2 linked regions of the Arabidopsis thaliana genome follow. The protein of the gene in region 1 interacts with the protein of each later gene in a biochemical or structural test. Each region holds a gene or a part of one and is shown on either strand. Other genes may lie near its edges.

Region 1 (16,876 bases):
AGAATTAAGATGAGCTCCAAACTATAAAACAGCAATGCTTTTTGTTTGATTTTGAAAATTGATGAACATAGAAAACAGTTTATATACTTTTTCTTAAAGTTTACAAGATTTAGTTTCTAACATTTTGAGATATAGATTTTGTAAATACAAAATATTTAACGATTTAAACCGTAGTTCGTTGTATGTGAATTATCTTCTCGTTAAAAAAATGTAGCTGATTATCATTATCACATATATAATCATTATTTGTATCACAGGACACCCTCAATTTCTCAATAAAAATAGTTAATCTCAAAGTCAACCCACAAAGTGGAATAAATTAAATTTGCTATTGAAATATCGACAAGATCATGGTGATTTAGTGGTCACTTAACATACACGACACATTGAGTAATTATTATATAGCTTTGGATATTATTTTCAATTCAACGAAGTTGTTGACTTAACAAATGTCAACTCTTCCTCCACAATTGGAGGTCAAGATAAGATCAAAATAAAAGCTATATTCCCAGACCGTGATACAAATTTGAAATTTGTGACTACATTCTTTTCAGACCAAGATATTATCTGATCAAAAACTGTAGCTAAACCCAAAAAATTTCAATAACTCAAACTAATTAGTGTCTAAACATATTGGGCTTTTAAGTGTTATGGCGGCGGGAATCTATGGTTAACTTATCGGTCCTGTCGTAAGCCCAATGTATTCCAAATGGATGGAAATGTGTAATACTTATATTAAATCACCTGTACAGAAATTGCGAAGAAACACACATAATATAAATTAAATTTTAAGACAGTAAATGCCATAGGTGTACATAATTTTGTTCAACGTAATTACATTAATACCCCTCCTTCAAAGTTTCAGTACCTATCGCAGTTAGAATTATTTATTAGTGTAAGCAACTCTAGCTGCTTCACTTTTCACCTTTACATCTTCATACATTTTTAAAGAAGCTTCCGAAAACTTTTTTAATCTCTCTAGAAGCTTCGCCAAACTCGAATGCACACTCGACAAATCCGAAACCAACAGTGAACCGCCTTTTTCTTCCCCCAACATCTCCATATCCAAGGAAAACCCCTTGATTGACCCGCTAAGTTCATCAGACGGCAGTGTTTTGATCCCTGCAGACCAGTCCCGACACAGCACGAATATCGGTGGAGCCAGGACACGACGTGGGGACCATGGTCTTCGGTTTCTTGTAGAACGTTCTTGAGGGAGCAAGACACAGTTGTGAAGCCAACCATTCAGAGCTTCCACATAAGAAGCCATACTGTGAACCAAATCTACAAAGCTTAGACCAAAACACTCTGTTTCTTCTAGAAGCTCCGCCAAAATCCGCCTCTTAAGGACACTTTCGTGTGCTGTTTTGGAGGAATGTCGACAATGGTAAGCCAATGAAATGGTAATGTACTGTGTATGATGACATTCAAGCATCGCTTTCCACATTCTTATCAACCTAAAGAGAAAAGTAAGGATCAACCAACGAGTCTATATCCAAAAGTTAATAAGACATTTGGTTACTATATACCCTTGAAGAAACTCTAAGAGCTGTGGGTGGAGCTCATCGTCTCTGATTCTCTCAATCCGCTTTGAAATCGATTCAACAGATTGAATCGCGACTCTGATTCTTGAATGAAGATCTTTAGCAGCTGCTCTTGTTTTATCCATCGATTTAGCACTGTGATCCTTTGCGAATTGGTTCCTTAGCTGCTCGCATTTTCGATCATACTCTTTCCTAATCATCTCACTCGCCTGCATAAAAAGAAAAACAAATGAGATGTGAGGAAGCACAACACCAACACAGCCATAGAGTCATGATTTTTTTACCTTGACTTCATCATAGAGTTTTCTCTCCCAAGCGTATAACCGATCAAGCGAAGAAGAGTGACTTCCTGAGATCATACAAAACTCTTCGATGAAATCACTTCCACTTTCATCATCGTGATCTTCTTTTGATGTCTGGATCAACGGATTTCTAGAAGTGGAGGATCTTGACGACGATGTTCTCTTCCACACAATGACTTTAGTAACTTGATGACTCAATGGCTCTACATTAAAGTTTAACTCAGAACACTAAAACCAAAAATAGCAAAGACACAGGTAAATGATAAATCTTTACCTTGAGAAACTGGTGAATAACTTTTCCCTCTACAACAAGCTCGCTTCAAAGCTGCAAGAAACGCTATTGAATTTCCCTTTCCTGGTTAACAAAACAAACACTCACGAATCAACAACAGGTTTCAACAGCCATTTACACAATGAAAACAGAACTCATACCTGTCATATCGGCGAATCCGACTCTGATTTTGTTAACTTCAAGCATTCTTGAAACTTCTCTTCCAGATTCAGAAGCTCTAAAGAACTTATGTTCTATATCTTTCATACTCGACACAAAGTCTTTGGCTCTATGTGTGATAAACTCCGATGGATCTTCTCTTTCATCATTATCTTCACAACTCTGTTTCCTCTGCTTTGTTTTAAAACTCGAGTCTTGCAATGTCTCTGAACCAGATTTTGCTACATTCCCTTGACTAGTAATCTTCTCTAATCCTATAACTGCTGCATCACATTCACTATCAATCTCGGTTTGTTCACTTAGCCCTACAAATCTAAAGCTATCAAAATCGTCACAAGTGTCGAAATAGTCCCAAGAAGACGTCTCTGGCCGGCGAGGACGCGGCGGAGGAGGAGGAGAAAACGCCGGCATTGTCACTTCCAGATCGTCATCACCGTCGCTCAGAGGGTTAATAGTGAAAGTCACAGTAGAACTAGCCGTCTCCGTCTTCATGTAACTTAGATTGAAAAGGGGTTTAGGGTTAGGGTTTGGATTCGAGTTATGACTCAGTGGCGAGTCAACCGAATCGTCAGGGTAAGAGGAGTTATGAGAAGGAGATTTCTCAGGCTCAGTGGCGGTTAACGACGGAGATGATTCATGAGCAGTCTCCGCCTCCGCGTATTGACGAAGACAAGCTCCGATGTTACGGAGTGAACGGATGTAAGACACGTGTGCAGCGGCTAAAGCACATCTGGAATCCATAGCTTGTTTGACAAATCTCTTCCTTTCTTTGCATAGATGAAGCGGCTCGTTCTTCTTATTCATCGATGCTTTCGAGTTTGAACATCCCATTTTCTCCAATATCGAATGACCCATTGAGAAAAACTTAATAAAAATCGAAACTTTGGATTTGTTCTACCCTGAAATCTCTCACGGTGGTTACAAAACAGAACAAACTAAAGAACTCATTTCGAAAAAAAAGAAAATGACAAGTCTTTGGGGTTTTGTTTTGTTTTCCTTTAATGGCGTTTGTGAGAATTAAGAAGAACAGAGTGAGAAGTAGCTATCACCATGCGGAAAGGAGAGTAGTTGGGGAATTTATATATAAGGAAGAATCCAAAATACTTATTCAATGAGAGAAACCTGAAAAAGGAGCTTTGATCAGACAAATCTTGAACAAAATGGTCTGAGAGAGAGAGAGAGAGAGAGAGGGTGTGGAGAAGTTTTGTCTTGGTTGCATCGTTTTACGAGAAGAAGATAAAACATTAGTAAAGGAAAAAAAAGTGCAGAGATTTTAGTTCATTCCAAAACAGATCATTTACTTCAAAAGCTGAGCTAGAAAATAAAAAGTTAAAGCAGTGAGAAAATCCTAGCAGCAACAATTTCAGATTCTCTCTCTCTAGATGCTACAAAATCTGTAGTTATGGTCTTTACTCTTTATTGAATATGAACATGAAAGCTACACACTTTGAATATTTTTGTTTTCTTCTCATTTATTAACTTCGGTAATTGGATTACAGTACGATTCTACGAGAGTTATGTGAAACCTAGTTACTCTTTTTTTTTCGGTTATGGTTGTGAATGGACCGATTGAGCTGGGGAAAGAGAGGGAGGGAAAACCAAGTCAAAAGCTTAACGTATATATTCCTGCTTTTATTTAGTTTTGTGATTTTCGATTTACATTATTAAATCTTCCATAGTCATCTCTACTAAAGATTGGATTCAAAATTTTATAATTTAGGTTCAAAAAAATTAAAAAAAGTCTACGGCAAAAAGAAACGCTTATTAAAAATAATTCGGTTTAAGTTTAGGTTAAGCTACTTTAACGTAATTGGGCCACCTAAGGGAGGGAACTCTTTTGTATGGAGAATCGTGTAATTGTCTTTGGGTTTGAGCAAATCACTCTTGTTTAGTTTCGAGGGTCTCTCTAACGACTCCTTGAAACGTGGGCTTTATTTAGCCTCTCTACATATTAAAATTAAAATATCTCGACTTTATAACTTTCATTTAGAATGTGACAAGGGACAAGAAAGAATGGAGGTTAACATTTCTTAAAAGTGAGATATGGGCTGTTGCATATTGTAAGATGGTATGGAGAGTAATATAGTATAATAGTGTCTATCAAAAGTTTAAAACTTTGAAACAGTGAATGACACTATTCCCTTTTCCTAGGCCCAAATCCTACCATGACAATAACTGTCTCAAAGTTCTACCAAGTACTACTATAACTGAAAATAGTGGCAGTAACAGTAAAGGTCTAAAGGACACTTAATGAGTACGATACTGTTATAATCCCTACGATACATTTTTAGTAATTGAAGCAATCTTGCAAGCCTTGACTTTTCGTACGAATGCCTCTTAAAGACCCACCCACACCCCCCAGTATGTTACTTTTTCATTATAATGTCGACACTATTATTTTTGGGAAATGTTGCTCTACATGATTTTTATGAATTGAATCATATGAACACTCAAATACAAAGGTTTAGGCATTCTTTTGAAGATCATATATAAAAAATTCCTTACTCCTTGTACCATATCTAGGAGATATCATTTTATAAAATGAATAGAAATGGTAAAATCCATATTTAAAAAAATTAATAAATCACTTCTCGTCGAAAATAAAATATAGCTACGGAGGGATGTTTGGTGTCCACAGACCAAATATCTGAAATTATTGGCCTACCTATAAAGACCTGACGAATAATAATTGTATCTTTAATCATATCATATAAAATTTAAGCATTACAAGTAAATACGTAGGCACGAATTAAATAATCAATACACCATATGATTGCGTCTATATTTAAACTGATTGGCATCGTAACACACAATTCCCCTCTCCAAGCAACAATCTAAATTTTATAGAGAAAAATAAAAAAGTTTTTCTTTTTCTTTATAGAAACAATAATATGTTGTTAGGGAATCGACCACGGCCTCAAATGCAGAGAACAGCAAGCATAACGAGGATCACTATCGAAGTTGATGGTGATCAGACCGCCGGCCAAGACTCTGACGTGTCTATGACGGTGGTTGACGGCGGAGAAAATTACGCCCAGCGGTTCTTGTCGCCGGTAAATCACCAGAGGAACGAGAGAAAATACGGTGGGAGATCCTCACCGTCGTCTTTTCTTGTAAACTGTGGCTTTTGCAAACGCGGTCTTGCTCCGGGTCGTGATATTTACATGTACAAGTATGTTTACATATACTAACTACTCTTTTCTTAATTATTTTTCATTTTTACAAGTCTTCAGTTTTAAGATCTCAATTTATAATAGTTTAAAATAATTTTTCTTTTTAAATTTGAACAAGTTATTTGTTTTATATAATACATTCAAAATTGAAAGCGTTTTTTTTTTATAAATATAATCAAGGGAACTAAGCTACAACCAAGTTATGAAATTTATTTTTAACACCATATCTTTCCAATGGTAGGGATTCAATGATTTATTCCTCGTTTTCTAATGTATCACAAAGTAGTATTGATATATTTCTTTGTAACGTGAATAAATTGTAGAGGGGACGCAGCGTTTTGTAGCATAGAATGCAGAGAACAGCAAATGGAGCACGACGAGGGGAAAACAAGAAACCGCGTCGTACTATCACCTTCAAAATAAAAATACGCATGGCTCAAATTTACTATTACTCTTAAGTTTGTGTGTGTTTTAACTAGAGATTGTTGTTGTTAATCATTAATTAGTGTCATCATGTAAAATTAATCCTCAGAAAAAAATGAAATGAATCTATCTTTCATGTCCTGCCTATTATTTTAGTTTCACACTTCCTTGTCTCTTTTATAAACTGGGTTTATTTAGTTTGAAGATATGCTTTTTAATTACAACTTTTTTTTTTGTAATATTAAAACATTTAGCTAAAAGAAGTTAAAGAACGAGTAATTTATGCATACGTGATACGTTACTTTAAGAGCTAGTGAAGGTTGAAGTAAGCACACCATGAATCTCGTTTTAATAGTATGACTTTGTTAGCAAATAGATCCCAACACCATATGCAACTCACGGTAATTAAGATAATAATTAATAAAAGTATTTATTTTGATTTAAAGTCACATCATTTTGCATAATCTTATAACTAGTAGTACATGAATAGTAACAGATATAATATTTTTGGCCAGAAAATCATTGGTGGAAATTTAGAAAAAAGCGTTAAATGAAGGATTTAAAAATGGAGGTCACTGTCTCGTGACGACGAAAGCGTCCGGCGATTAGTAATGGGATGAAGAGGTGTAGAGTAAATTAATGCGAACACTCGTCATACCGATCAAAGCTTAGTGATGACCTAATAACCATTTGTTATTTTACTAATCAAAAAGATGTAATAAGAAAATATTCATACATACTGAAATGGTGTGTGTATGGTTTTAACCTGTCGTATCAAAGTTGATACTTATTACGATTTTTTTTTTTTTGAAATATTTCATTTATACATATATTTAAAGCTTTAGTCTTGTAAAAGACGTATACATGCTGTAAAATAGTTTTCTACATGCTGTGAAAAGGTTAAAAGTTTATAGATGTTACATTTCTTTCTTTGTTTTTCGGATTAGATATGTTTTATCCATCTTTCTTCCATCATAATTTTGTTTTAGTGTATAAGAATTTGTCCATGGTAACACTCATCTGAACTAACAATTTCTAAACGCTATCTATTAGTACTTGGAAAGTATGAACTCTTGTTCTCTATCATTTGAAATCACATCAGTTTTTTGCTTCAGTATAAATGTGTTTTGACATTTTTCACACGATTTTTTTTTTAATAAAAACTATATGCATGGACCGTTATGGTTTTACAAATTAAGTATTTTTATAAAATTATTTTTATTTACTACATTAAAAATTTATTTTGATTATAAAATTTTAATACAATTTTTAAGAACACAAAAATGCTTCTATAACGATACTTAAATTAAAGTACATATGTCTCGTTGCTCAATAATTGAAGATTTGTATATTAATGGTTTATGGAAATGGATAGTTATCAGTAGCTTATAGATAGGATTAGGTTTATAATTAGTCTATGGATTATTTATATATAATTTGTTTTTTTCTTCACTCGTTTTCTGAACTCCAAACTTCGAGGCTTAGTTGTTGGAGTTTCCGGAGTCATCATATTTTGTCTTCACTACTAATTATTGATTACTTAATTATCAATAAATATATAATTCAAGGGAAATAAGCAGATTCATTTGGTATCTTTAATTAAATTAATCCTCCCACATATATAATTAATTTGAATTATTTGGACCATCAATCTCATATTTTTATGAATAAACTCATTTGAGGTCATTGATGATGCCATGGTAATATTTTAAACTTCTTTTCGATGGTTTTTGAATGAAGAATCGGTCCATACACATTTTATTTATTCCTCCAAATTATATTATATTTAAAATAGAATTGTTATGAAAACGACCATTACGTTATAATTTTTTTGCTTGCCATCTTCTACTAAACTAGATTGAAATTTCTCAACTGTGATAAAAAAATAGCAGGGAACACAAATCAAAAATTTGAATGAGCAAGTTTTCAGTCAAAACCTACAACAATTTACACCACAACGTCTAACTAATTGTGGTATGAGCAAATTTGGTGACAAAAGCTGTCCATACACTTGTAGATCAATTGCTGAACCAAAACCATGATTATATATCTCAAAAGATAAGCTGTTTTACAAACATATGAAACAAAATCATAAGAGATATTGAAATTATGGTCCAACCTAGACACACTTGCAAAATATACCAACCCATCCGGATTACTACAAATACAAGTTACTTCACACCCTACAGAGACCAAACTAAAAGCTCTTTGGTCTCTCAGAAACACAAGCTTTCATAATTTAAAAACATTATATAAAAACCAAACAACGACACAAATTAAAGACTCTTAAATTATGAGCTAATTAAAGGTCTTAGATTCATGCTTCTTCATGTTCACTTGAATTCCATGATCATGTTGTTCTCCGGAGCCAGTCCAACGCACGCCCTCATAATATTCTCCAGCATAGCCCGCTGCTTCGACAGTGCGTTAATCACCGGAGTTCCCGGCGGTACAAGTGGTGCCTTGGTGAGGTAGCTGAGTATGGTGGCCACAGGATGGAAAGAGTGAAACTTTCCCTGCCAAAAAGATGTTTCAAAACATCAAAACCGCGGTTCAGTGAAAACAGAGAACCCAAAATAACATGTACTGTGAACTGACGAACCTCTCCCTCGGATTTGAACTGGATCCTGGTGCTGAGCTCCGCGAGGAGAACAAGATCCAAGATGATTGGAGCAGCTAAGAGAGAGTCCTCGCAGGTATTGTGCATCACAATTGTGTTCTTCCCTCCCATGAATATCTCTGATGTGTACTCGTCCATGGCTCGCTTACTATCCGCAACATACGGTACATACTACAAAACAAACACACAAATTGGATCAATGGGATCTCAGATTGCCAACAGAAACAGGTTTTGAGTGTCTGTCCGGTTCTCTATTTACCTTGATGACAACAACATGGTCCGGGTGTTCCCCAGGCTCAAAGAGGATACCATTGCTAGCAACCATATCGTCCACGACATTGCTTTTGGAGATCTCCTTAGATCTGAAAGTCTGTGGAGCTGAGAGATTCATTCCATCGTTGTTTCCCAAGTGATTGTAGCTCACAATTGAAGTAGGCTATAAACAAAAACACACAATCAATGAAACCAAAGTCTTGTGACAAATATTTTCAGTAACAAGAAAGAGTAACTTGATACGCAAGTTAAACAAACCTTGATTCCTGCGCCAACTAGGAAATCAACCAAGACAGATTTCATCTTGGTTTGACCACTCTTGAAATCATCTCCACCGATCAAAACATTGTTCCTGATCGCCATATCAATTAGACCTACAACAAACCCCCAAGAAAATCAGTCATGATTTCCAATATTGATTGATCAATGAGTGATTAAAACTCAACTACATGAAACCTGGAACAAAGGTGTTTTGAGGGCTTCCATTGATGAACGGGATTCCCTCAAGAACACAAGCAATCGCATAAAGTGTTGAAGGAGAGATCTCAGCCTCATCCCTATCCACAGACTCCATGAGATTCTCCATTGTATCGTTCATCCCAACGACCACATTGCTATAACGCTCTGTGTTAGCCGTCCAGAGAACCACAACCTTATCCACCTTATTCTTCTCCTTAAACTCCCTAAGATTCAACATCACACTCGATCACATCAATAATCAGACGAGATTCGATTCAACCAATAAGAATAATCACTAGAACAGAGAGTAACCTCATGTCCTTGATGATGTGGTCGACTTGTTCCTTCTTGGTACCTTTGATCACGTGGTTAGCACGTGACCCTTGATTAGCAGCTATGAAATCAGGATCGAAGATCCCAGGGAGTGGCACAATGTTCTCCATGTAAGGCCTGAGCTGTTTCTGCAAGTCGATATCAAGAACCCTGGCTCTAGCCATGGCATCTGCTAAGTTCATGTCACTTATATCCCATCCTCCAAACACAACATCATCCGGATTCACCTGTTTTTATTTCCACACAACGATCCCAAAATTAAAACACACTTTAAGAAGAAAACCTGTCTCAAAAATTTGTTTAAAAGCTAGCTAATCACCAACCATTGGAAGGAGACTCTTGAAAGGAGCATAGATCTCTTCACCGTTAAAAGATCCGACACGAATCGATGAAGCTTGAGTTAGTGACCCGAAGTAATTCGCTTGTTGCACTTTGTCCTTCGTTGCCCACGAGATTCCTCTGTTTTATTTATCCAATTTTCCGATTACAAAAAGACAAAATTATCAAATTTTAATATCAAGGACTTGATCAAAAAGACTCACTCTTTGTTCGCAATCACACCAGCGGTGAGAGTTGATCCATTGTTTCCTCCCAAACCCACAAGCATAACCCTTTACGACAAAATCAAAATTGATTCATCAACGACGGAGAAATCGAGGAATTATGAAACTTTGGAAAAGAGTGGTTTTTACCCTAATTTGGGGACACGAATATCGGTTTTGAAATCGTATTTGACAGTCTTTGGCTTCACAATCCATTGGTAAGTGCCATTGACGGTCTTCTCATGAACAACCTCCGTCGTCTCGTAATCGTACACAGAGTGAATCTCATTCTCTGTGTACTTCACGTTCGGGCTCTCAACTTTGAAGCTCTCAATAAACATTTTTGCAGAGGAAAAGGAAAATTTGGTTGTCTTTCTCGGAATTTGGATCGGTTTTGGGGTGTGAGTTTTGTGCTTCTAATCAGCGGAGACGTGCAAGTTTATATAGACGAGACAGCAAGGGAGATAGAGACACCGTGGCGTCACTTCACTGGTTGATGGTCCCTATTTGTCCAATGCATGTGAGCTAGTGATGCTTCTGGTTCATAGTGAGCCACACGTGTGGGGTCTCACACGTGAGGGAGGAGCGGAAAATTAAAAATAGTAATTGACACGTCAGATATCTGGTCCATACACGTGGCGTCGCTTTGTTATGATGATAGCAAAGTCTGGTTTGGTTTTTTTGTTTCATGGGTCCCACATTTTTGTGGGGAACGTTAGTTAGTTCCGTTAATTTGGTGGAAAACGACAGTGTTTCGTCAACATGGGACCTTTTGTTCCGTTACAGTTACTAAAAAGATAGTGTTTTGTCAGTTACGAAGGAAAGAGAGTGCACAACACGAACCACGTTTAGCTGTCAATTGGTCGCCGTAGGAATCACGTGTAGCGTTTGGCGCGTGAGATAGTTAATATCGGTGTTAACGGTCGTTTGGAACAAAAGTGCGACCGTTTAAAGACTTTTTTGTCGCCGTTTAAAAGTGGGTCCTATGGAATCTTGTTGACTGGGTTTGACACGTGAATTACCTTTTTTTAATTACGATTTTTTATGTTATTAATTGATACTTGCACTAATTAATTGGTCAAAATGCCGATGATTTCAAGGTACCTATGTTTTTTTTTTTTTTAAAGATTTGTGTTTTAAATATATTTTTACACATATCTAAGAAATTTAAAATACCTTAAATATAATATTAATTCATACTTGTGATTTCACATTTGAGTAATGTATCATAACCAGACATTGATAACTATGAATCTATATGAAACAAAAAGATTTAGTCTAGAACACTGATTATCATTGTCTGTAAAACATCTTCACACTTTTTCTACTGCTCTGTTTCACGTGTTTTTCATGTCTTAGAAAGACGTTATTCTGAATATATTATTTAATTGATTATGGTCGAGCAATGTGTCATAAGGAAAATATCAGTTACATTTTACTTTCAAATTTGAATATTTTAACACAAATTGAAACATTTGTTAAAAATTTAAATTATTTGTTATAGCTTTTCCAAGTTACACTAGTTTATATGATGCCTAAAATATGTAATTTGATTTCCTTTTGTAACCGGGATTCTTTCATTTCTATTTCAATAATGATTAGTCATTTGAAAGGTTTAGATGGAAAGAAAATCCAACTTTTTGCACATGCCTTGAAAATTATTCTAGACATCGGTCTTCCAATGAATCATTTCATTAGTGGACCAATATGAACTGATTTGTAATACAATTTCTTTTAAAGATGTTGCATTATATTCAGATTTGGGTGTGGCATGTTAAAAAAGATCTCTTATTATCTGTTGAATTTATATCATTCTCTTTTTATCTTTGTGTTGTTAATTATGATGATTTGTAAGTTAAAGGTTAAACGTGTGATCTTGGCTCTCGTATCACCTATTCATTGCAGCAATGCTAATTTTTGAAAAACTACATAAAAATATAGTGCTCTTGCTCTAGTCGACATAAGAAGTTTCAAAAACTGAATCCAAAAACTAATTATGGAGGATGAAAAAAAAAAAAAATGGTTTTTGGACACACCTTGGAAATGGAATGGCTTTGAAAAAGTTTGATAGGCATGGTTGTGGCCATACGTACGTTTGTGTATTGATAATTTGTTTCCCTTTGTAAACTCTTTGTCTGTGTTCCTCCACGCCACATACTTCTCTTTGTTTCACATTCATTTTTTTTCACTCAAAAATCATTTTGTATAAAGGGTGATGTTGATGTGCTGGAAGTTTCTCGTACGCTTGATTATGTCCAACTATTTTGTTTCGAATTATTTAATTTTAAGTAAATGAAAAGACTACTATCCAAAATAAAATTCACAAACGAATAATAGATAATACGACAAACAAAACATATTAAGCAGTAAATATATATATATACATATATATTTTGTCTTAATTATAACAGTTGTATTAAAATATATAATTTAATTGCAACTATGTAGATATTTTTTTTTCTTCTTCCCAATAACGTAGATATATTTTATTTGTTTCGTTTCATATTTGTTTTTGACAAACTTTGTTTCGTTTCACATTAATAAAGTAATCAATTATTTTTGTCAATTGGGAACAGTTTATCCATTGTTTCGTTTCACATTAATAACAGATAAACTGTTTCCAATTTAAACAGAATAAGAATTAAATATTTGATCAGAAACTTATCCAAAATTAAATTAAAAACAACTGATTATAAGTTGGACAAACTTTTACGTTGAAATATTTAATTATAAAATAAGATCAAGAGCTTATCCAAAACTAAATAGAAATGAATAAATACGACAAAAATATTAAAAACTATTACGTTGAAATATTAATAAGTCGTAGATAATACGACAAAAGAAAATATATTTAAAGATGACAAACAATACCAATGTGATGTATTCATAAAAGTTTGAGGTAAAAATCAGATAAAAAGTTGTTAGTGACAAAATATAAACAATATCAATTGAATTATTTGGTAATAGAGTCAATGAAGGTATAAATATTATATACAATTAAATTCATTCTTCAAACTATTTATAAAAAAATTAACATTTAGGAGGGATGCAGTAATCATCTAAGCAAAGAATGAGAATGATTGATCAAGCTTTGGAGAGTTTGATTGCCTTGAGCTTTGCTTAACAGATTCTTCACATTTTGTGTCATCTGTATTAAACAAAAACATTTAAAAGAAAGACAAAATTTAACGGCAATTTAAATTCTTTATGATTTGAAGAGAGGGGAAAAAAACACAATTACCTTCTCGAGACTACCCTTCGAGTAAGGCATTGCCCTTTGGGCTATTTGGTAATTCCTTCGACTTCTTGTCATAATCTTAGAAGAAGTGTGCCATTTTCCTTCCAAATGATTGGGAAGTGTAGATTCCTGTATATTTAGGTGATATATAAACACATATACAAATGAGTTAATTTGTATATTTGAAATAAAAATCTTGAAAGAAAAAAAAGAATTATGAGTATACGACATACCAAGAAAAGCACTGTTGCACAATGCTTGAGGACCTCTAAATTCATTCGAACATCATCGAGACTCCTGCAATTATATGACATATGTGCGTTATTTCACCTTAAGGAAAACGTAACAGTAATAGATACAAACATATATGATTAGGTACCTGTGCTTTTGAACTCCAAGACCAAAATAGGCAGCCAAACTTGCCATCTACAAAATAGTGCACAATGACCTTCAATATATAAATTCCTAAGATTTCTAATGCTTACAAAGAATCTTGGATAATGGTACCTTCATGTTACCAGCTCTTTTGCCAAACTTGTCACTTAATAACCCCAAAGAATCAATGATCCCTGAGGGTTCAGGCGCAGCTTTACCGATCTCAGCGAAAGCTTCTTTGATCCTAACGCAATCAAATCTTCTAATGTTATGACCTGCCCAAATCCTACCGTTCAACAAACCATGGATTTTCTCAGCCACGTCTTCAAAACTTGGTGCGTTCGTAACCTTAGCCCTGGTGATCCCATCTGACCTAGACGACCTTATTGAGACCACCGACAAGTCTTTAGGTTGTATAAGCGTTGTGAAGCTCTCTAGCTCCTCGAGTTTTTTTGGACATACGATGATCGCCCCAAACTCTAGTATGTGAAAATGTTGCCCTGCTTTGTTTGGTACGTTTGTTTCTAGATCGAAGAAGACGATTTCGTTGGGAAATGTTTGGACCGCCATATCAGATTTTGGTTTATGTTCGGTTTGTTAATCCTGTGAGTAGGTATGTGTATATATTGTGGATTTGGGGTTTGCGTTTTCTTGTGATAAAAGTTAAGCGTAGATTTGTGTTGGAGGGTTACTGTGGGGATTATTTAGCTTCGCGGAGAAAATTTTGCTCTGTAGGGTAAAGTAAGAATCTTTACTTTGCTTTTTCCAAACCAATAAAAAAGGGTTGTTATATGAAAGAATTCGTTGGTAGATTCATGTTCTACGAGAATTGATTCCTTTGATATTGTCATAAAGATATACAAGGAATCTGAAAGCTGAAAGGGAAAATTTCTCTCAAAAACTGGTAATATCCCAAATTATTGATCCTTATATGATCCTCTCAACGGGAATATTCAACTCAAAATACATGGCTTTAAATATTTGATTTACCCAAAATCTCTGTGCATAGGAAGAGTTGCAAGAACACACATTCTTCATTAGTGGTTAACGGCAAATGCAAAAAAACGTTATAAGAAGATGAATATGAGAAAACGAATGCAGGAAGTTACCAAGTGTTTGGGGGCAACAAACCATTTGCTAGCTTACACAACAGAAAACTACAACGAATTTGAAGCCGGTAATTGCAACAACAGAGTCTCCAGCTGAGGCCAAACCCACCAAGATTTGTTTCATCATTGAAGACATAAACTCTTTGACTAATTACCTTTGTTTGGAATGAAAACCTGCAATTTTGAATGCTAGATGATCAATTTGCATACCTCCAATGGAAATTATATGAAACCAAAACAGAGAACAAGAAGTTTAGGGCGCTAGAGAATATCATCTCTCTTATCTACCTAACCAGATTGTTTCATATTCTTAAGACTTCACAATTTATCGAAGTCATCATAACATCACCAATCAGTTCTTAGACATGCCAAAACCTAAAAAAGGGAAAAATTCAAGAATGAAACAAGAACAGAGACAATACCTCAAACTCTGGTACAAGATGAATCAAAGTCATCAGGAGCAACACGTGCAATCCAATTGTTTAACGTCCGCTTAACATCAGTATGATTAACATAAGCCAACTCATACATACTACACAAATTCACCACCAAGCTCTCGTTCAAAGCCGCGGTTGGCACTCTCTCCAATGCACTTTCCATCACCTTAATCGCATCCGATAGATCTCTCAAGTACATCAAACAAAGAGCCTTATTGTTGACAGCGATAATATCAGAGTTATCCCTTTCAATGCATTTGTCATACTCTCTCACAGCAGAAACATAGTCCTTTGCCACAACATAAACCAAAGCCTTATTCCTACCAACAAGATTGTTGAACTGTATCTCGTTCAATAAACCATTGCTCTTTCCTTCATTCAACATCTTCTCAACTCTATCAAACGTAGTTTTAGCTCCTTCTACATCACCAAACTGCATCTGAACAGACCCTAGTTTCGAAATCAAAACCGGGTCTAACGGATCACGATTGATCAATTCCTTCATCAAATCCAAAGACACCCCAAATTCCTTGTGACCTAAATGAAACCCTAGCAAGCAATTCATCACAAATGTCTCTCTTTTCTTCCACAATTCCACAGAACTCTCTAAACTCTGAGATTCTTTCTCTCTGATTCGATCTCGAACAAAGTCAAGCAAAACATATAAACGATCTAACCCTTCCTGACGATTACCAAGCTTAGTCGGGATCAAAGCGTAGAGCCATCGTAAAGAGAAAGGAACCATAGATCCTCTCCGATTAGGGTAAATCTCAGGGAACGATTCGTACCTGTAATGCGTCCCGTCGAAATCGTGCAAGGAATTAAGCTCATGAGAAGCTTCATCGGAGCGACGAAGCTTCGCGAGAGCCATAACTTGGTAAGTGAGATAAGTGAGATGCTCGTGAGGCTTTGTGAGGAGGAAGAGAGCTCTGGCTTGAGATATCTTCTCGAGGATCGCTTGCCATGAGCCACGGGTCGAAAGCTCGTGGAGCGAGCCGAGATCGTGTGTTAATTCGTCGAGCGAATTGAATCGTTCCGGTGGTAGATCGGCGACGGATGTGACTTGGGATGAGGCTAATTCGAATGCCGTCGGTTCCCCTGCATCGGTTGACTCTGCCATGGCGGTGGAATCAGTGGAGGAGGGATTGAATTCGGGTCGGGTTTCGGATTCGGGTAAATCCGGATCCATTGCTGGAGATGACTCCGTGAACATTGTGGAAGTAACCTGGTTTGGTCTTTGGATTTGGGTCGTCTTTCCAATAGATACCATTACGCTAAATTCTTCTTTTTGGCATAAAAATTTAGATTATTTTTTATTAAAAAAAAACATTTGATATGATTATGATTTTAGGCGGTTTATTAAGATTTTTTTATAATTAGATCAAAAATAATTAGATCAAATACTAAAATTGGAGGAGAATCCAAACTTTGGATTTCATATATTTTATTTTTTAATTCACTAGAAATGAAACAATAATTAAATCCAAAATTACAATTAACTTGTCTCGGATCGATTGATCAATGTTGATTTTTTGTCTTATGACTTTTCTTCGTGTAACGAAAGGAGTTACTTAAATGGTGGAGTAATGGTAATAAA
Region 2 (16,055 bases), on another chromosome or scaffold:
ATTTGTTTAAATTCGTTAAACCAATATAATTATTTAAACAGCTTGAATTGCTATTAGTAAAATAAATTTTAAGATGTGTCATAGTATTTTTTTGAGTTTTTATTATTGATTATTAGATGATTACTCGCTCTACTATCAAACTGATTTTGTAAGAGTTTTGTAGAATGTTTGCTTAACATTCGATAAAGAACAATAGAATATTTTGCTTATAAAATTGACTTTCAGAGGTGTTAGATAGGTCAAATTAATTTAAATTTGTAATACATGCTCTTACCTAAGATCTGTCATTCTAATATGCTATAAAATAACTCAAAACATGATTTTGGTGACCAAATCAACTTACGCATCATAATAAATAGAAAAATGATTGTTTGATTTATAGAATTTAAATTTTTCGTTATAATCAATATATCTATGTATAGAGATAAAGAGACACTGCATAAATTTCAAAGAAGTATAGTAAAAGAGAACTTTGACTAACCACAATTACAAAGTCCATTTCTACAGTTTGGTTTGTATACAGTATTAGGCTTTATTCAATACGTTAGCAAGCTCCACAAAGAGAATTGATAAATAATTAATCTCTAACCAACTCTCTTTCTCATCTTCATTGCTCACATGTCACATGGATGATTTCATTTTGCAATCACTTTTCAAGAAATCCCAAAAAACTGCCCACATGTTAGTAAACTCTCAAAAAGACCATTTATGTCTAAGGATACAAACCATTTGGGGAAACAAGAAAATACTTGCTTATCTAGCGGTAGTAGACAGATGATTAGTGTTGTTTCCAAATTACAAAAGTAAATGTGCGGCAGTTAGAAGAGTAATCTTTAAAATGATTCTAGTAACCTTTTTCTGATTATCAACTGAATGTATTCATTTATGTGAAGTATATTAAAAAACAAAAAAAAAAAATACTCATCAAATGTTGCACAAACTTGTCAAATGATAGTAACATCTTACATGAGCTATAAGCTTAAGATTGGATTAAGCAAACTCTCAAATAGAGAGATATGCTCATAGTTGACATTTTTATGATGCCAAAGTTTTATTTAGCCATCTTTTAGGTTTAGAAAAAATATATTGGTTAACGTTAGTGAGAATTTGAGAACGGTCAAGCATATAGCATATATGGTTAAATAATTGAAAACCAAAATCAAATAAGAAAAGTTCATAGGAAAATGAAATCATGGTGGGTTAGGTACTTCAAGCTTGCATATACGATTTATCTATAATGCGTTTTTTCCAAGCTTATACAAAACAAAAAACAAAAAACAACTAATCAAAAGAAGAATCTAATCAAAAGTGCTTACTAGAATTAGATACATATAAGCTTTGTTACTATGTAGACAATTTATTGTATACTAAATTTTAATCCACAATATACTGTGGGATGATTTGTTTTAAAATTTATTGATTTTAAAATTAAATGGTTATATAATATATATATATATATATATATATAAGTCTGCAAATTGTATATTTTATAAGCTATTTTTATAAAGAAAGCTTAAAGACCAATCAAATTTTCTTACTATAATTACTGGTCTAAAGTCTTTGAATATCACTACTTGAACTGATTATTTTTAGATATTAATTATTTACGCGTTACGTGTGTGTGTTTTACAGATTAGGTAAGAGACAAATATGAGAATTTGGAGCGAAACATAACCAATATAATTATTAATTTGATGCAAGATGAGCTCACAAATTTTGTCCATATTACTATATTAGTAAAATTAGTTTTTGTCTCCATATATTGGAGCCCGACACAACTCCTCCAGAATTTCATTTCTATTTTCTAAGAAGTTTCTTTAGTATTTTTTTCGGGTAATTACGATAACAAAAATAGACTCCTAGGCCACAAAATGAGAGTGGATCGTTAGCAACAATATCATTTTTTATATATAAATTTTGTCGATTGATTCGGTAAATCTCGATAGAAACATACCGATATACTTTATAGTGGACTTCTTCTTAAAGGACCACCACATTGTCTGTTCTTAGTTTGCATTTCTAACTATCACATAAACCAATTGGGTTAAGACCCAATTGACAGACTTCCTAAACAAATGTGATTTAAATAATATTATTTTTGTCCAGTTTCTTGTTACTAACTCAATAATATACAGATTTAAATTTAAATATACATTTTATACTTAAATTTCTAATATTAAAAAAAAAAGTTTGTATATATTGACAGAATAATAGAATCACTTATTTTTTAGTCATCTATAGTAAAAGTATATAGAAAGGTTAGTAAAAAACAATTCTGAAGTTTGTTAACTATGGTACCTACCGTTATGTATAATTAAATGTTTTAAAATAACAGAAAGTCAGCTGTTACATTTATGCTCTAATTAGTGGGGGAAAAAAGCAAATTAAAATTAAATTTATGGAATCATAGTAGAGACCCCATCATAGTAATGTTCCGATACTTTATGAAAAGTGGTTCCCTATGAAAATCATCTGGCTAACTCAGATTTTTGTTTCTAGTCTTAAAAGTCAAAACCACTGTCAATTGTGTCAAATTTTATTAAATTATTCTAAGTAAACTTCCTATCAATTTGGCAGAAATCCATTAAACTATTATGTCTACATTTCAAACACAATTATAATGCTTTTTGAAATATGATTACTAAACCAACGTTGGCGATTTGTTTCAAAGATCAATTCAAATAAGTCTCTTTGATCAAACGGGTTTAAAGATTAAATTAAAAGTAGAGAAATAGTAAACGTCGGTAACCAAATGGGACCTGATCTCACCCGTGCCAACATTATTGTCATCATTTAACCTTAATCAACGACAATTACACACAAAGAATCAAAAGGAGAGTAAGTTAAAAGCAAAATGAAATTTCATAAAAACAGTAAAAAGGATAAAGTTATTGAGTAATATGTTAACCATTTTACATGTCTCACTGAAATAAAAGCATATTGATGATAATTCACCCTTTGTGGTATGAGCCTGAGAAACTTGAACTTTGGATATTTTCACATAACTGGTTCTCTCTATTTTTTCAACAATTGACTCGACAAAGATTCAGTCCTTAACTCAATCCCAACTATTTGGAGTAACGTGACTTGATGGAGTTAAACTTGTTGTTTCATATGTTTGTCGTGTTATTCGTAATTAGTTACTTAGTTAAATGACTAATTCGTTAAATTATTGGTACGAAATCAAACTATTATATGTATACCACTCTTCAAAATGCCAACAAAATGATTTTGAAAAATATATAAGTCTCTAACTAAGTAACATAAAGAGACAAATACATTACTAAACAAGAAAAATGTATTAGGAGATTTAAACTTTTAAGAAGGATTATTGACAAAAACAATAATGTGGATTACTCGATTTAGTCGTTTGTCCAATATTAGGACATTGATTTTTTTTTTTTTTTATGTGTTTATGCTCATCAGGTTAAAAGTTTTTGTCCAATACTTTGGATCACTAAGTCATTTTAGAAAAGTGATGTCGTATGTAGCATAACTTTTTCTTTTCTAAAGAGAAAGAAATGATTATGATCCCAATTAGAAACCCTAACGTAGGGACAAAGAGGGGAGACACTGATTAGCTATTATAACCCTAATTAAAAGACAGCCCGACATTGATTATTTAATAATCAAATTTGCACGGATATATATTGTTTTCAATGTGATAATGATATTTGGCTTTTTGTTAAGGGAACAAGAGAAAATAATGATGTCGGTAATAGTTGGTTAGTCTGATAACCTAAGTCCTTAACGACAAAATTCTATTTATACTTTGCTTTAATTTACTTTACGATTTGAAACCAAAATTAAAGTTGGCCGTTTGGCTTCGCTTCTGTGGTATACAATTGTATAGTAATCATAAAGAACAAAATATTCGATTTGTTCGATGCAAACAAAAAGAAGATGTAGGAAAAATTATAAAGATGAAGGATAATTAGTGACCAAATTTTAGATATAGAAAGAAAATTATTGCAATTAATATTCTAATTAAAAAGAAAATACAACAAAACAAAATTCTTATTATTACTAAAAATCAAATATAATTTAGTGGCCAGTAGTATCTAATACTCTATCCATTTATGGAGAAATCCACCAGTCACATATGTAAAGTGTAATTTTGATGTTGGTTTCGATTTACAGAAGTTGGAAGCTACAGGAGGTTGGATCATCAGAAATCATTACGGGACACCAATCTCATGGGGTTCAATAAAGTTGGCTCACACGAATAATCCGCTTGAGGCAGAAACCAAAGCTCTTTTGGCGGCTTTACAACAAACCTGGATTCGAGGATACACACAAGTACTTATAGAAGGCGATTGTCAGACGCTAATTAACTTAATTAATGGGACTTCGTCTCACAGTTCCTTAGCAAATCACCTGGAGGACATTCGTTTTTGGTCAAATAAATTTGCAAGCATTCAGTTTGGTTTTATTAGGAGAAAGGGAAACAAATTAGCTCATGTCTTAGCGAAATATGGTTGTACCTATTCTTCTTTTTATTCTGGTTCTGGTTTTTTACCTATTTGGCTTGATCGATATTTTTGTAATGACCCTAATTGATTAATATAATTGTTTTGACGTAAAAAAAAAAACTCTATCCATTTATAAATAAGTGTTGTTTAAGATTTTGGCACACATTTTTAAAATAGATAAATTTTCTATTTTTCTTCCATCAACATAATTTTAATAATTAATTAATGCATTAAATTAGTGGAGATAAAAACTGTAACTTTTTTTACATCAAAATTGCATTAAAAATATAAAATGATACTTATTTTAAAACAAAATATAGGTTCCATAATGTAAAGTATACGTATTTCAATGTAAATAAATTTCTGTGAAAAGAAAAGGCCAAAAGTCAGAAAAGATTGAAAGACAAATGCTCTACTAACCGAAAAGAAATTGAAATTAGCCAAAGAAACTAAATCACAATTAGTAAACAAGAAAAAACACAATGAAATGATAGTATTTAGTTACTCATGACATCACGTAGATTAGAGAAAGAGTGGCGTAAATCACGTGATAACGATTTATCCAGTAAAATTCAGGAACAAGCCTTTTAGATATTATTATTTACTTACTTGATTAATGATAATAAGCCTTCAACTATTTACCCTTTTTCTTTCTCCTTTTCTATGGGCTCCATAAAATTATAAACATAAATAATTTTAATTGCATTGAGAAGAAACTAAACTTTTCCAAAAGAAACAAAGTAATCCGTTTGATGTTAAGCAAAAAGAATTAGTATTGAGTATGTTTTATTTTGTATAAAATTAGGATTTGTAAATTTTGTGATGGTGTCCTTTGTATGGTTTTTCTTTTTCCATCTTTCTCACATCTTCTATTGTTACTGCTAAAGGCACCAAACTCTTAAGTAATTAGAAATTACACCCTTTCTTTTACGTATAATCAACAGTACCCCCTACTAATCATTACCAATTTCTGTGGAACTTAATTGAATCTCACCAAAACAAATAACATATGAAAGACACCAACCTTGTAAGTTAGATTCGAAATGGTTATATGATTTACGACTATATGTACTATCAGTTGTTTGGTGTAGAGTGTAGACAAATCATTGATATTGATCGACCTATCAAAAAGAGTTTGGTGGATAGATATGTGTTTCGACTATATATCGTTGGGGGCTAGTACTATGTTTATATATGTTAAAATGAGTTTAAAACCCGTGAGATTACCCGAATCCATCTATATATTTAATCACTAAATGAACTAAATAAGAAAGTCATTTTTGAAATAATTTTATTGAGATTCTATAGTATCTAAGGTCCATCCTGACAGTTTAAGATCATAATGCTACTGACCAAAGTTTGGTCCTATATTAACTTGTTTTGAGGCGTATGTTAAGAGATCCAAGGTTTATCTATGCTTCCTACGTCAAATTGATACTTAGTAATCAATTTTAATATGATATGTCCGCTCCCGTAGCCAAATTTATAATATCCTGATGGAGAGCTAAAAGATGAAAGATAAAATGTTCAATAAATCAATGTCGAGATATTTATCAAATTGTCTCTTAGGTATGTACGATGCATTAAAATTGAATAAATTTGTTGGAGAATGCAAAAAAAGATGAAAAATGGTAAGTGTGGGATCCAAAAGGAAGTTTATGTCCCACAGTGATCTGAAGGAATCACAAAGGAATGGTTTTTTTGATGCAAACTCTCATAGTCGCTTGAAGGTACTGTCAGACTCCTTTAGTCTTTAGGCTCTTTGGACCATTCTATTTCATTCATTATTCCTACTCTCTCTTTTCCTTACCAACAATCTTTATTTTCTTCAATTCAATTCCCATTTCTAGTGTATTTTTTACAAATAGAACATCAATTATTCCGACAAGGCTTCACATTTTGATCCAACTTGAAGTAAGGCTTTGGTTCATGGTCTAAAAGCCCAGTTAAAGCATTAGGAAGGACAAAAAACACTTTTAGGTTGTTTCTTGATGAACAAGCAACCTTTTTAATAGGTTGACCTTTCTTACGAAATTCACAGGGTTATACAAAATGTTCAGTTGGATACTCATGTTCATATCCGTTGTAATCATAATACAATCTTTCCCCTTTCGATATGTCTCTATTAGCTACGAGAAGAACCCTAGCTTCTCCGTTGATGTTGAACCTCACACACTTCAGGTTCTGCTTCTTCCTCCCTTCTCTGCAATTCACAAAATGTCAACAAATACACAATGAGGACAAGCAATACTAGAATGGTTCCAACTAATTCAGAAGCAGGACCAAAACATGGAGCTCAGGTGTTGTGACCAGAGAGTCGACTTTAAGGAACCAAATAGAAGAGAAGAGAAACTCACGGTGAGTGATTGTTGATGCCACTGATGAACCGGGCGATGTTACTGCGTCTGTCAGGGCAAATTACGAGACATTGCGAAGGATCAGAGGCATGAAGTAGAGTCATCATACTGTCTCCATCATAGTCATCTTCTCTATTGCTCAGATAATCAACATCTCCAACATACTCTGTGATAATTGTCCAGTCTTTTATAAACCTGTCCGCCTCTACTGTGAACCTGTTCAGATAGAAAAAATTAGACTTCAATATAATTATACATTGATAAATGCATTTTCCTACTCTCTTCTTGGTTATAAAGGTCAAAAGAGAAGCTAATAAGAATGTTAAGTACCCTTCATAAGGATCGAAGACGACCATAAGTGGCGGGCATTCACCGAGGTCCATCATTTTCTTGCACAAGGCTAAGGTCTCTACGCCTTCTTTAGATAGAACCTGTATGAAATTAAATACAAAATCAACTTTTCTGTTGATACTTAACCCAACAATGAATGCTTTCAAGAAACCTAAGAATCACCAAACCAATCATATAGATGTGACTGAAGAACAAGAGCAATACATATCAACTTAAGATAGATACCTGCATGCCTCCTTTCTCAAAAGCAGCTTGGTTTGCAGATCTTGGAGCCTTTCCAGATACATAAGTAAGCTCATTGCTGAACTTGGTGTTGGAAGCTCTCAACGCAGTGGCCAGAGACGCCATTTGCTCTAGCCTCCTTTGAGGATCATTGCTAGGATTGTATGGAAGAAGCCTTCTCTTCTTCTTTGACATCACCAAGCTAGTCTTTTTCCGTTTCTTCCCAATACTATCTGCAAACATTTCACTATTCAGATTAATATTTCTAGGGATTTAGATTTCTAATCTGCAAAATTACATACCTGAAGAACTTGAGATTTGAGATGAATCTGGAGACCGCTTAATCCGGAAGAAATCTATAATTTTAGTCTGAATAAGAGGGAAAGCTGCAGATTTACAAAACTTTTCATTAGTAATTCAGCAACAGTGTAATCCAAAACCTGATCTAGTAGTGTTAAATCTGAATCAAATTCGCAAAATCAAATCAAAGACAGAGATCAAGAAACCCAGAAGAATCCTAAAATCTAAAGCTCAACAATAAACATATCCTAATCAAAAGAAGGAAGCTTTGAAATTAGAGTCATGTGGGTATAGTGAAAAAGCTTACATTTAGGGATCTGATGTTTGGAACAAGAAGGGCAGAACCAAGAGCCTTTGGGAACTGAAACGAGGATCGGTCTGAGACAGAAAAGATGAAACCCTTTATCGCATTTGTCGCAAAGAAGCAGCTTTGCTGGTTGTTTACCGGAACTGCATTCTTCGCAGACTGTATCCCAATCGGAATCGGAATCATGATCCGACATGTGTTGCGGTGGTTCGGATCTAGGGTTTGACGCTTGTGTTCTCCTTCGCCTCACAGCCACCATTCTTACACTTATTGATTTACCAGAGAAAGAGAGAGAGTGAGAGATTATAAATGTGAGATCTAGCCGAGGTTGAGTAGAAGAGTTCGCGCTCTGGATTCACCGGATTTTCCCGGGGAATTTTAATTTGGCGCCACTGTTACGGTTTCCCGATTTGCAGACTGGTTTATTTTGGTTTTATCTAACCGATTTTGAGAAATTAGGATTAGATCGGTTCATATATTTTGGTTGTTCGGTTCGGTTCAATTTGATTATCCCACCGGACAAACCAAAACCGACATAAGACTCTCCTTCAATGTAACTTTCAACTAAATTGATTTTGCTCTTTGAACGATGGAGACCAATCTAAAGATCTATCTAGTTTCATCCACCGACTCGTCCGAGTTCACTCACCTGAAATGGTCTTTCACTCGTTCTACGATCATCGCCTTAGACGCCGAATGGAAGCCACAACACTCCAATACGTCGTCGTTTCCGACCGTCACTCTCCTCCAAGTCGCATGCCGACTCAGTCACGCCACGGATGTCTCCGATGTCTTCCTCATTGATTTGAGTTCGATTCATCTTCCATCGGTTTGGGAGCTGTTGAATGATATGTTCGTGTCGCCGGATGTTCTGAAACTAGGGTTTCGGTTTAAACAGGATTTGGTTTACTTGTCTTCGACATTTACTCAACATGGATGTGAAGGTGGATTCCAAGAGGTGATTTGCTTTTGAAAGTCTTGAACTTTGCTTCGTAGTGTTAGTTTAAGCTAATTGTAGTCGAATTCTTATCAAAGTTTTAACCTTTAGCTCTGTTATATTCTCTTGTACTTAAAGTTCTTGTGTTTGGATCACGTGTGGTGTTTATAGATAGGTAAGTATTGATTTGTGTGTTTATTGACTTCTGTTGAAAGTAGATTGTTGAATTGTGTTTTTCTTTTATTTGCCTTTTTAGGTTATGTTGCTTTAAAACTCTATGTTTGTGATTGTTGATGTGAATAGGTGAAACAATACTTGGATATTACAAGCATATACAATTATCTGCAACATAAGCGGTTTGGGAGAAAGGCGCCAAAGGATATCAAGAGCTTGGCTGCTATATGTAAGGAAATGCTGGACATCTCTCTCTCAAAGGTTTGTCAATGATTCCTGCAAGAATTTGACTTTTCGTGAAACGTACTGTTAATAAGGCTTTTCTTAACAGGTTTTTATTCTTTAGGAACTTCAATGTAGTGATTGGTCATATCGTCCTCTTACAGAAGAACAGAAACTATACGCTGCCACAGATGCTCACTGCCTGCTCCAGATATTCGATGTATTTGAGGCGCATCTTGTTGAAGGAATCACAGTGCAAGATCTTAGAGTGATAAATGTTGGCTTACAAGAAATTCTGACTGAATCGGACTATAGCAGTAAGATTGTCACAGTCAAACTTTGCAAGGCTACAGATGTAATCAGATCAATGTCGGAAAATGGTCAAAACATAGCCAATGGAGTGGTTCCAAGAAAAACGACACTAAACACGATGCCAATGGATGAGAATTTGTTGAAGATTGTCAGGAAGTTTGGAGAACGGATCCTGTTGAAGGAGTCTGATCTTCTACCAAAGAAACTTAAGAAGAAAACAAGAAGACGTGTCGCCTCAAGCACTATGAACACAAATAAGCAGTTGGTCTGTTCTGCGGACTGGCAAGGTCCACCGCCATGGGACTCATCTTTAGGCGGTGATGGCTGCCCTAAATTTCTATTGGATGTGATGGTATTTGAATCAATTTCTGTTTTCTGTTGCTCTTTTGTTTCTTGGTTTTATTTAATTAGAGGACAAGAATTTGATTTCACCTATTTAGTATCTTTGTTTTTGAATCTAACCATTTTCAGTAGAATCCATGTGGTATCATAATCAGTTTCTTGTAAAACTACTTTATAGGTTGAAGGTTTGGCGAAACATCTACGTTGTGTGGGGATTGATGCTGCAATCCCACACTCAAAGAAGCCGGATTCAAGGTACTTTATCCTAAAGCTGCTATTAAAGTTTTTCTGTGACATGGGGTTTTGATCACAATATCTGTATAGGATTGATTTTCTAATTGTGATGTTGACACAAATGCCAGGGAGTTGCTTGATCAAGCATTCAAAGAGAACAGAGTTCTATTAACAAGAGATACAAAATTGTTGAGACACCAGGATTTGGCAAAGCATCAAATATATCGAGTAAAGAGTCTTCTTAAAAATGAGCAGCTACTTGAGGTACAAACAAAGTTAATTTTCAACGTATAAGCTGTTATGCAAGATCTGTGATGTGGCATGATTTGGTTTACTAGATTTATTAATCAAAAAGGACACATACCCTGGAAATTTTGCTTTAAAGAATAGGATCTCTCAAGACACTAGTTAACAAATTTATTTTTAACCTTACTTTCTGGGTGGAACATTTTCTACACTACCTGTAATTATGGCATGCTTGGATTCACCGAGCCAAAATAACCTCGTCCACTCACTGTGCAACCACTTTTCTTACATTCAGTAGAATGATTACGGATTTTTTGTGAATTACTGAAACAAATAAGCTTCGCAGGTGATAGAGACTTTCCAGCTAAAGATCAGCGGAAATCAGCTGATGTCCAGATGTACGAAGTGCAATGGGAAATTTATTCAGAAACCTCTAAGCATTGAAGAAGCTATTGAAGCAGCAAAGGGTTTCCAAAGAATACCCAACTGCTTATTTAACAAAAATTTAGAGTTTTGGCAGTGCATGAACTGCCATCAACTATACTGGGAGGTAAGTCACCTACCCCATCTTTTGCCGTTGTGCATTATAGTTCTTGAACGAGTATACCTTGTGTCAAAAAATCATCTGGTCCATCTATGTTAGTTGTTTTGCTGATTGAACAGTCAAATTTTAGTTGCCTAACGATATTTATCAAATCAGTGATCCAATTAATATTTGTATGAAGTCTTAGTTGGTGAATTGAATCTTGATTTCTTTAAAACATCTTCATGTGTTCATGTCTTAGAGCAGAAATCATCTCCACAAGATTCATAACTTCCTATATAGCTCTGATCTGTTCTGTCTCTAATAGTCAGTGTCCGACATATTTAATGTTTGTTATGTGGTTTCAGGGAACTCAGTATCATAACGCAGTCCAGAAGTTCATGGAAGTATGCAAGTTGAGTGAGTGATTCACTTTTTTTTTTTTTTTTTGGGTTTTTACAATTTTGGTGAAGTGTTCAATCTCTCGTTACCTCAGTTCCTCAAATGTTTTTATTTTATATCAAACGTCTCTAAGCAAACAAGATGTGTTTGTAACTTGTGTCGTTTGCACACATGTGTTCCAGAGGTTATTAACCGTGTACAAATGTTTTAGTTTGTTTTACAAAGTTGAACACATTACTATCTTATGAGAAGAATAGACTTGTAGTATTTTCTATTTACCAGTTAAATTCTTGCATAATTTTCAAAGTGGAATATTATTTTCAATATGCTTTCTTGAGATGATGGCTTTTCTAGCCGTAGATTCATGCATTTTAAATATGATGATATACCAAATTTAGGTATTGTGGATTGGATTGGTCTAGTTCATTAGTTAGGCAAAAAATTTAACCTCATCAAATCAACATTACCTCTCTTCCTAATTTTCTCCATTGAATTCTTGTTCAACCATTTTTTTTCTTTCACTAGCAAATACGGTGATGAACTCGAAAATGATATCTTTGCGACAGATGAATTAACCGGTATAATTGGAAAGCGTTTCTTGAGCATCAGTGTTCCTACTTGAGGAAGAGTTGTCTTGTAGACCTAAACAAGAGATCAATTGCCCCAACACGAAACTATGTAGATCAAATAAGTATTTAGTTCACTCTTCTTTGCTCACTTCAAATATGTTTTAGACTTATTAGAAAATCCGGTGAGTCAGATATTCGACGGGCACATTCACATCGGAATTAATAGTTTCATAGGGTGTTGTCTCTTAAATTTGGACCGACCGGTTGGATTGCCTATCTGCCGTATAAAGAAAATAAGACAAGAGAACATTAATTTCATGGTTGAACCGGACGGTTCTTGGCTAAATTGAACCGAACCGATTGATTTCAGAAGGTATGTATAACTTTTTTTACGGAGTCGTCATCACTTTCTCTGCTCGTCGGCGAAGTTCACATTCACCGGTCGTATAGTGTCTTCGTCTCCTTCCTCGTGAAATTTGTTCATCACAGTCTCTACAGTCACCACCATAGGAGGTCGTACCGCCGGATCTTCGCCACACCATTAATTTCTGCGTTCTCTCTTCTCAATTCGCCGCCGATCTCTCTGAGCGTAATTACCAAATCGTGCTTAGGTATGTCATCAAATCTTGTCTCACACCTTCCAATTCATCTCCATGCACTAATTCATTAAGTAATTAGTCAAGGGTTTAATTCAAACTTTATGGTTAAATCGACGAGAGTGCTGATGTTTTGGGGTTAGGGTGTGAAGAAAATTATATTGATTCTCTCTCTCTCTCTCTCCTGCTAATTAGATCTCCTTCTCCTAGAAACTGCTGTGAGGATCGATCTCGATTGATCATGGAAAGTCCTGGAAGAAAAGTTTTGTATGAGATACGTCATCATGCTTCATTGCCTTATGTTCCTAGATATCCTCCTCTTCCTCAGGTACAAGATTCATCATTGCTTATACAATTTAGTGTTTTACTTATATCTTACGCTTTGATCCGCTGTCCAAGTTTAGGCAGATGGAACTAATTCGAAAGGAGGACTTCGGTCACTTGTTTCCATCAAAGGTCAGTCGCAGATGGTTAACTCAGAGATCTGTGATTTTTGAATCTTTGGTTTTATGAGCTTGTAGGAATCATGTTTGTGTACATCTCTTTTCATTAAATTAGCAGTATAGCTCATTGGTTCTTCATCTCTGTGCTCTTATGGTATTAAGGTGTTAGTCAACTCAAGGAAAAGTGGAGTGAATACTGGAATCCGAAAAAAACTAATAAGCCGGTGTCGTTATTTATTTCACCAAGAGGAGAACTTGTGGCTGTCACTTCTGGAAATCACGTTACTATCTTGCGAAAGGATGATGATTACAGGAAACCTTGTGGCAATTTTACATGTAAGAAATTCTGGCATATCTTCCCTTGCTTTCACAAATGTTTGCCTGATTATGTTTTTCGGGGTCATTGCCATAGCACACTCAATAAACGAATTTGTAGAATATTGCATTTATCTTGTCAAAAACTATCTACTTGATTTACTCTGATAACAAACGCCTATAAAACTTGCATTTGCTTCTTTTTCTCTCTAAGTTTAGTATGTGGAATCACCGTTTTGTGAAACCTTAGACTGTACCAGTCATTTATTCTGTTCATTAAAAAAATATGCTCTCCTCACAATACCGTTTTCCTTCTTTCTGTTTCTTAACTTATGGTCCTTTGATGTCTATGCTATGGTCCTCTAACTTCTGTATTCTGCATCAGCCAGCATATCAGGTTCATTTACTTCTGGAGTATGGTCCGAAAAACATGATGTTCTTGGTCTTGTGGATGATAGTGAGACCCTCTTTTTCATCAGAGCTAATGGCGAAGAAATAAGTCAGGTCACAAAAAGAAACTTGAAGGTTTCTGCACCAGTATTAGGATTAATGGAGGACGACTCTGATTTGCAACCATCATGCTTGTACGTTTCCTTCTGTTCATATTTCTTATTGATTAAGACTTACAGAGTACTTTGTTCAAAAAAAAAAACAGACTAAAGGAGTACTCTGGGATCCTAATGTGTCCTTGACCATTACAGTATACTTGTTTGCTTAAGGTCTACGGCTGATATGAAATTTTGACTGGTGGTCTGTGCTAATGATAATTTGCCTGCAGGTGTTCGTTCAGTATACTTACGTCAGATGGACGTATTCATCATGTCGAGATCAGTAGGGAGCCAAGTGCTTCTGCCTTTTCCAAGCATGCTTCAAATAGTGTCTCAAAGCAATTCCCCAACCACGTTTTCTGCTTTGATTACCATCCAGATCTTTCTTTTCTTCTCATTGTTGGTAGTGTTGCAGGCATATCATCGTCAGGGAGTTCTGGTAAGTTTTATACAACTTATTTTAGTTGAGGAAAGTTTGGAATTAGGAGTAATTAAAAAGCTACACTTGCTTGAAATCATTCAATTTGGCAAACCATAGCTGCGTACTATTATATGAGAATGCTACCTATACTTTATCAGTGTTTGTGATAGTTGAATGAAAAATGTGGTTGTTGAAATATTTCCGATGAACAGAGATGTTAGGTTCATGATTCTGCGATAATTAATGTTTTAATTTACTTACTTTCAGGTTCATCGTGTATCTCGCTTTGGCGTAAGTGTCAGAATTTAGGTCTGGAATTGTTGTCCACCACAAAGTTTGATGGCGTGTATTGTGAGAACAAAGATGATCAGTTGGCATATCCAAAGACTTTAATCTCCCCTCAAGGGTCACATGTTGCAAGTCTTGATAGCAATGGGTGCGTGCATATTTTCCAGTTAGATAAAGCAAGATTGACACTTTCGTGCTGTCCTTCTGAAGACAGTTCTGATTCACTGAAGCCAGATAAGTCGCTACAAAGTTGGAAAGAAAGTTTAAGAAATGTCGTAGATTTTACTTGGTGGTCTGATCACGCCCTTGCAATTTTGAAAAGGAGCGGTAACATTAGTATATTTGACATCAGTAGGTGTGTTATAGTTCAAGAGGATGCTACCATTTATTCTATGCCTGTCGTGGAAAGAGTTCAGAAATATGAAGGACACATTTTTCTTTTAGAAAGTTCAACACAGGAAGCAAAATCAGCTCTGGCCAATGTTGACAGGGACGCAAGTGAATTTCATCATACTAGTGAGCATAGTATGTTATGGAGGCTAATATCATTTACTGAGAAAACAATTCCTGAAATGTATAAAATCTTAGTTGAGAAATGCCAATATCAAGAAGCGTTAGATTTCTCTGATAGTCATGGCTTGGACAGAGATGAAGTTTTCAAGTCAAGATGGTTGAAGTCAGAAAAAGGAGTCAGTGATGTGAGCACGATTCTATCAAAGATAAAAGATAAAGCTTTTGTGCTCTCCGAATGCTTAGATAGAATTGGGCCAACAGAAGATTCCATGAAGGCCTTACTTGCGCATGGACTTTATCTAACCAATCACTATGTATTTGCTAAATCTGAAGATCAAGAATCCCAACAACTTTGGGAATTTCGTTTGGCTAGGCTTCGTCTATTACAGTTTAGTGAAAGGCTTGACACCTATTTGGGGATAAGCATGGGCAGGTATATATCTTTACTCTTGCTATCTTCTCTTCCTTTCTGCAGATAGGAAACCTGGTATGCCATATAGTACTAGTCTTGCATATCCAGGAGATTCTATGGTTATCTAACACAGGATGAGTGTCATTTAGAATTTGGTTAGAATTTGTCGATTCTAGAGTTTAAAGTGGTTTTGTGGGTTTGATTGCAACTTGAAAACTTAGAAGTTAGAACCCTCTTTTGCCACCCTTAGATACCCACTCAGGCAAGTTTCATCTGATATCACCAAGCTCTTTGCATATGGGTTCTGCATTTCAGAATTTTCGGTTCCTTTTTATCTGCTGTTAAACTTCACTATCCAGTTACTTCTTAAAATGGTTAATGACATTGTCTCCACAGATATTCTGTGCAGGATTACAGAAAATTTCGGAGTAATCCTATCAATCAGGCTGCTATTTCACTTGCTGAGAGCGGGAGAATAGGAGCCTTAAACCTGCTATTTAAGCGGCATCCTTATTCACTTGTTTCGTTTATGCTGCAAATTTTGGCAGC

The links.
Region 2: the proteins of MIPS1 (region 1) and ATXR6 form a complex in vitro, tested with the Arabidopsis thaliana proteins (one study listed by BioGRID).

Annotation. Positions count from the first base shown.
Region 1 is NC_003075.7:18,461,433-18,478,308, forward strand, and holds MIPS1 (myo-inositol-1-phosphate synthase 1), read right to left. Parts: upstream 10,617-16,876; 5' UTR 10,462-10,616; coding exon 10,271-10,461; intron 10,190-10,270; coding exon 10,121-10,189; intron 10,038-10,120; coding exon 9,902-10,037; intron 9,806-9,901; coding exon 9,558-9,805; intron 9,470-9,557; coding exon 9,243-9,469; intron 9,161-9,242; coding exon 9,045-9,160; intron 8,950-9,044; coding exon 8,773-8,949; intron 8,685-8,772; coding exon 8,496-8,684; intron 8,410-8,495; coding exon 8,227-8,409; 3' UTR 7,823-8,226; downstream 1-7,822. Other genes in the region: AT4G39790 (bZIP transcription factor, putative (DUF630 and DUF632)), read right to left, coding at 884-1,457, 1,530-1,753, 1,829-2,049, 2,121-2,201, 2,279-3,152; AT4G39795 (hypothetical protein (DUF581)), read left to right, coding at 5,189-5,469, 5,794-5,893; AT4G39810 (Polynucleotidyl transferase, ribonuclease H-like superfamily protein), read right to left, coding at 13,176-13,268, 13,362-13,487, 13,592-13,655, 13,738-13,784, 13,866-14,303; AT4G39820 (Tetratricopeptide repeat (TPR)-like superfamily protein), read right to left, coding at 15,266-16,549. UniProt on the Arabidopsis thaliana protein: Key enzyme in myo-inositol biosynthesis pathway that catalyzes the conversion of glucose 6-phosphate to 1-myo-inositol 1-phosphate in a NAD-dependent manner. Catalyzes the majority of myo-inositol synthesis required for plant growth and development.
Region 2 is NC_003076.8:8,288,730-8,304,784, forward strand, and holds ATXR6 (TRITHORAX-RELATED PROTEIN 6), read right to left. Parts: upstream 8,431-16,055; 5' UTR 8,269-8,430; coding exon 8,010-8,268; intron 7,789-8,009; coding exon 7,705-7,788; intron 7,636-7,704; coding exon 7,406-7,635; intron 7,261-7,405; coding exon 7,160-7,260; intron 7,046-7,159; coding exon 6,830-7,045; intron 6,676-6,829; coding exon 6,516-6,675; 3' UTR 6,381-6,515; downstream 1-6,380. Other genes in the region: AT5G24340 (3'-5' exonuclease domain-containing protein), read left to right, coding at 8,599-8,967, 9,250-9,381, 9,467-10,006, 10,175-10,251, 10,359-10,494, 10,823-11,119; AT5G24350 (neuroblastoma-amplified sequence protein), read left to right, coding at 12,808-12,894, 12,971-13,022, 13,172-13,345, 13,710-13,908, 14,103-14,311, 14,561-15,527, 15,757-15,829, 15,916-16,055. UniProt on the Arabidopsis thaliana protein: Histone methyltransferase that specifically monomethylates 'Lys-27' of histone H3 (H3K27me1). Has higher activity on nucleosomes containing H3.1 than H3.3. Involved in the formation of constitutive heterochromatin and the silencing of heterochromatic elements.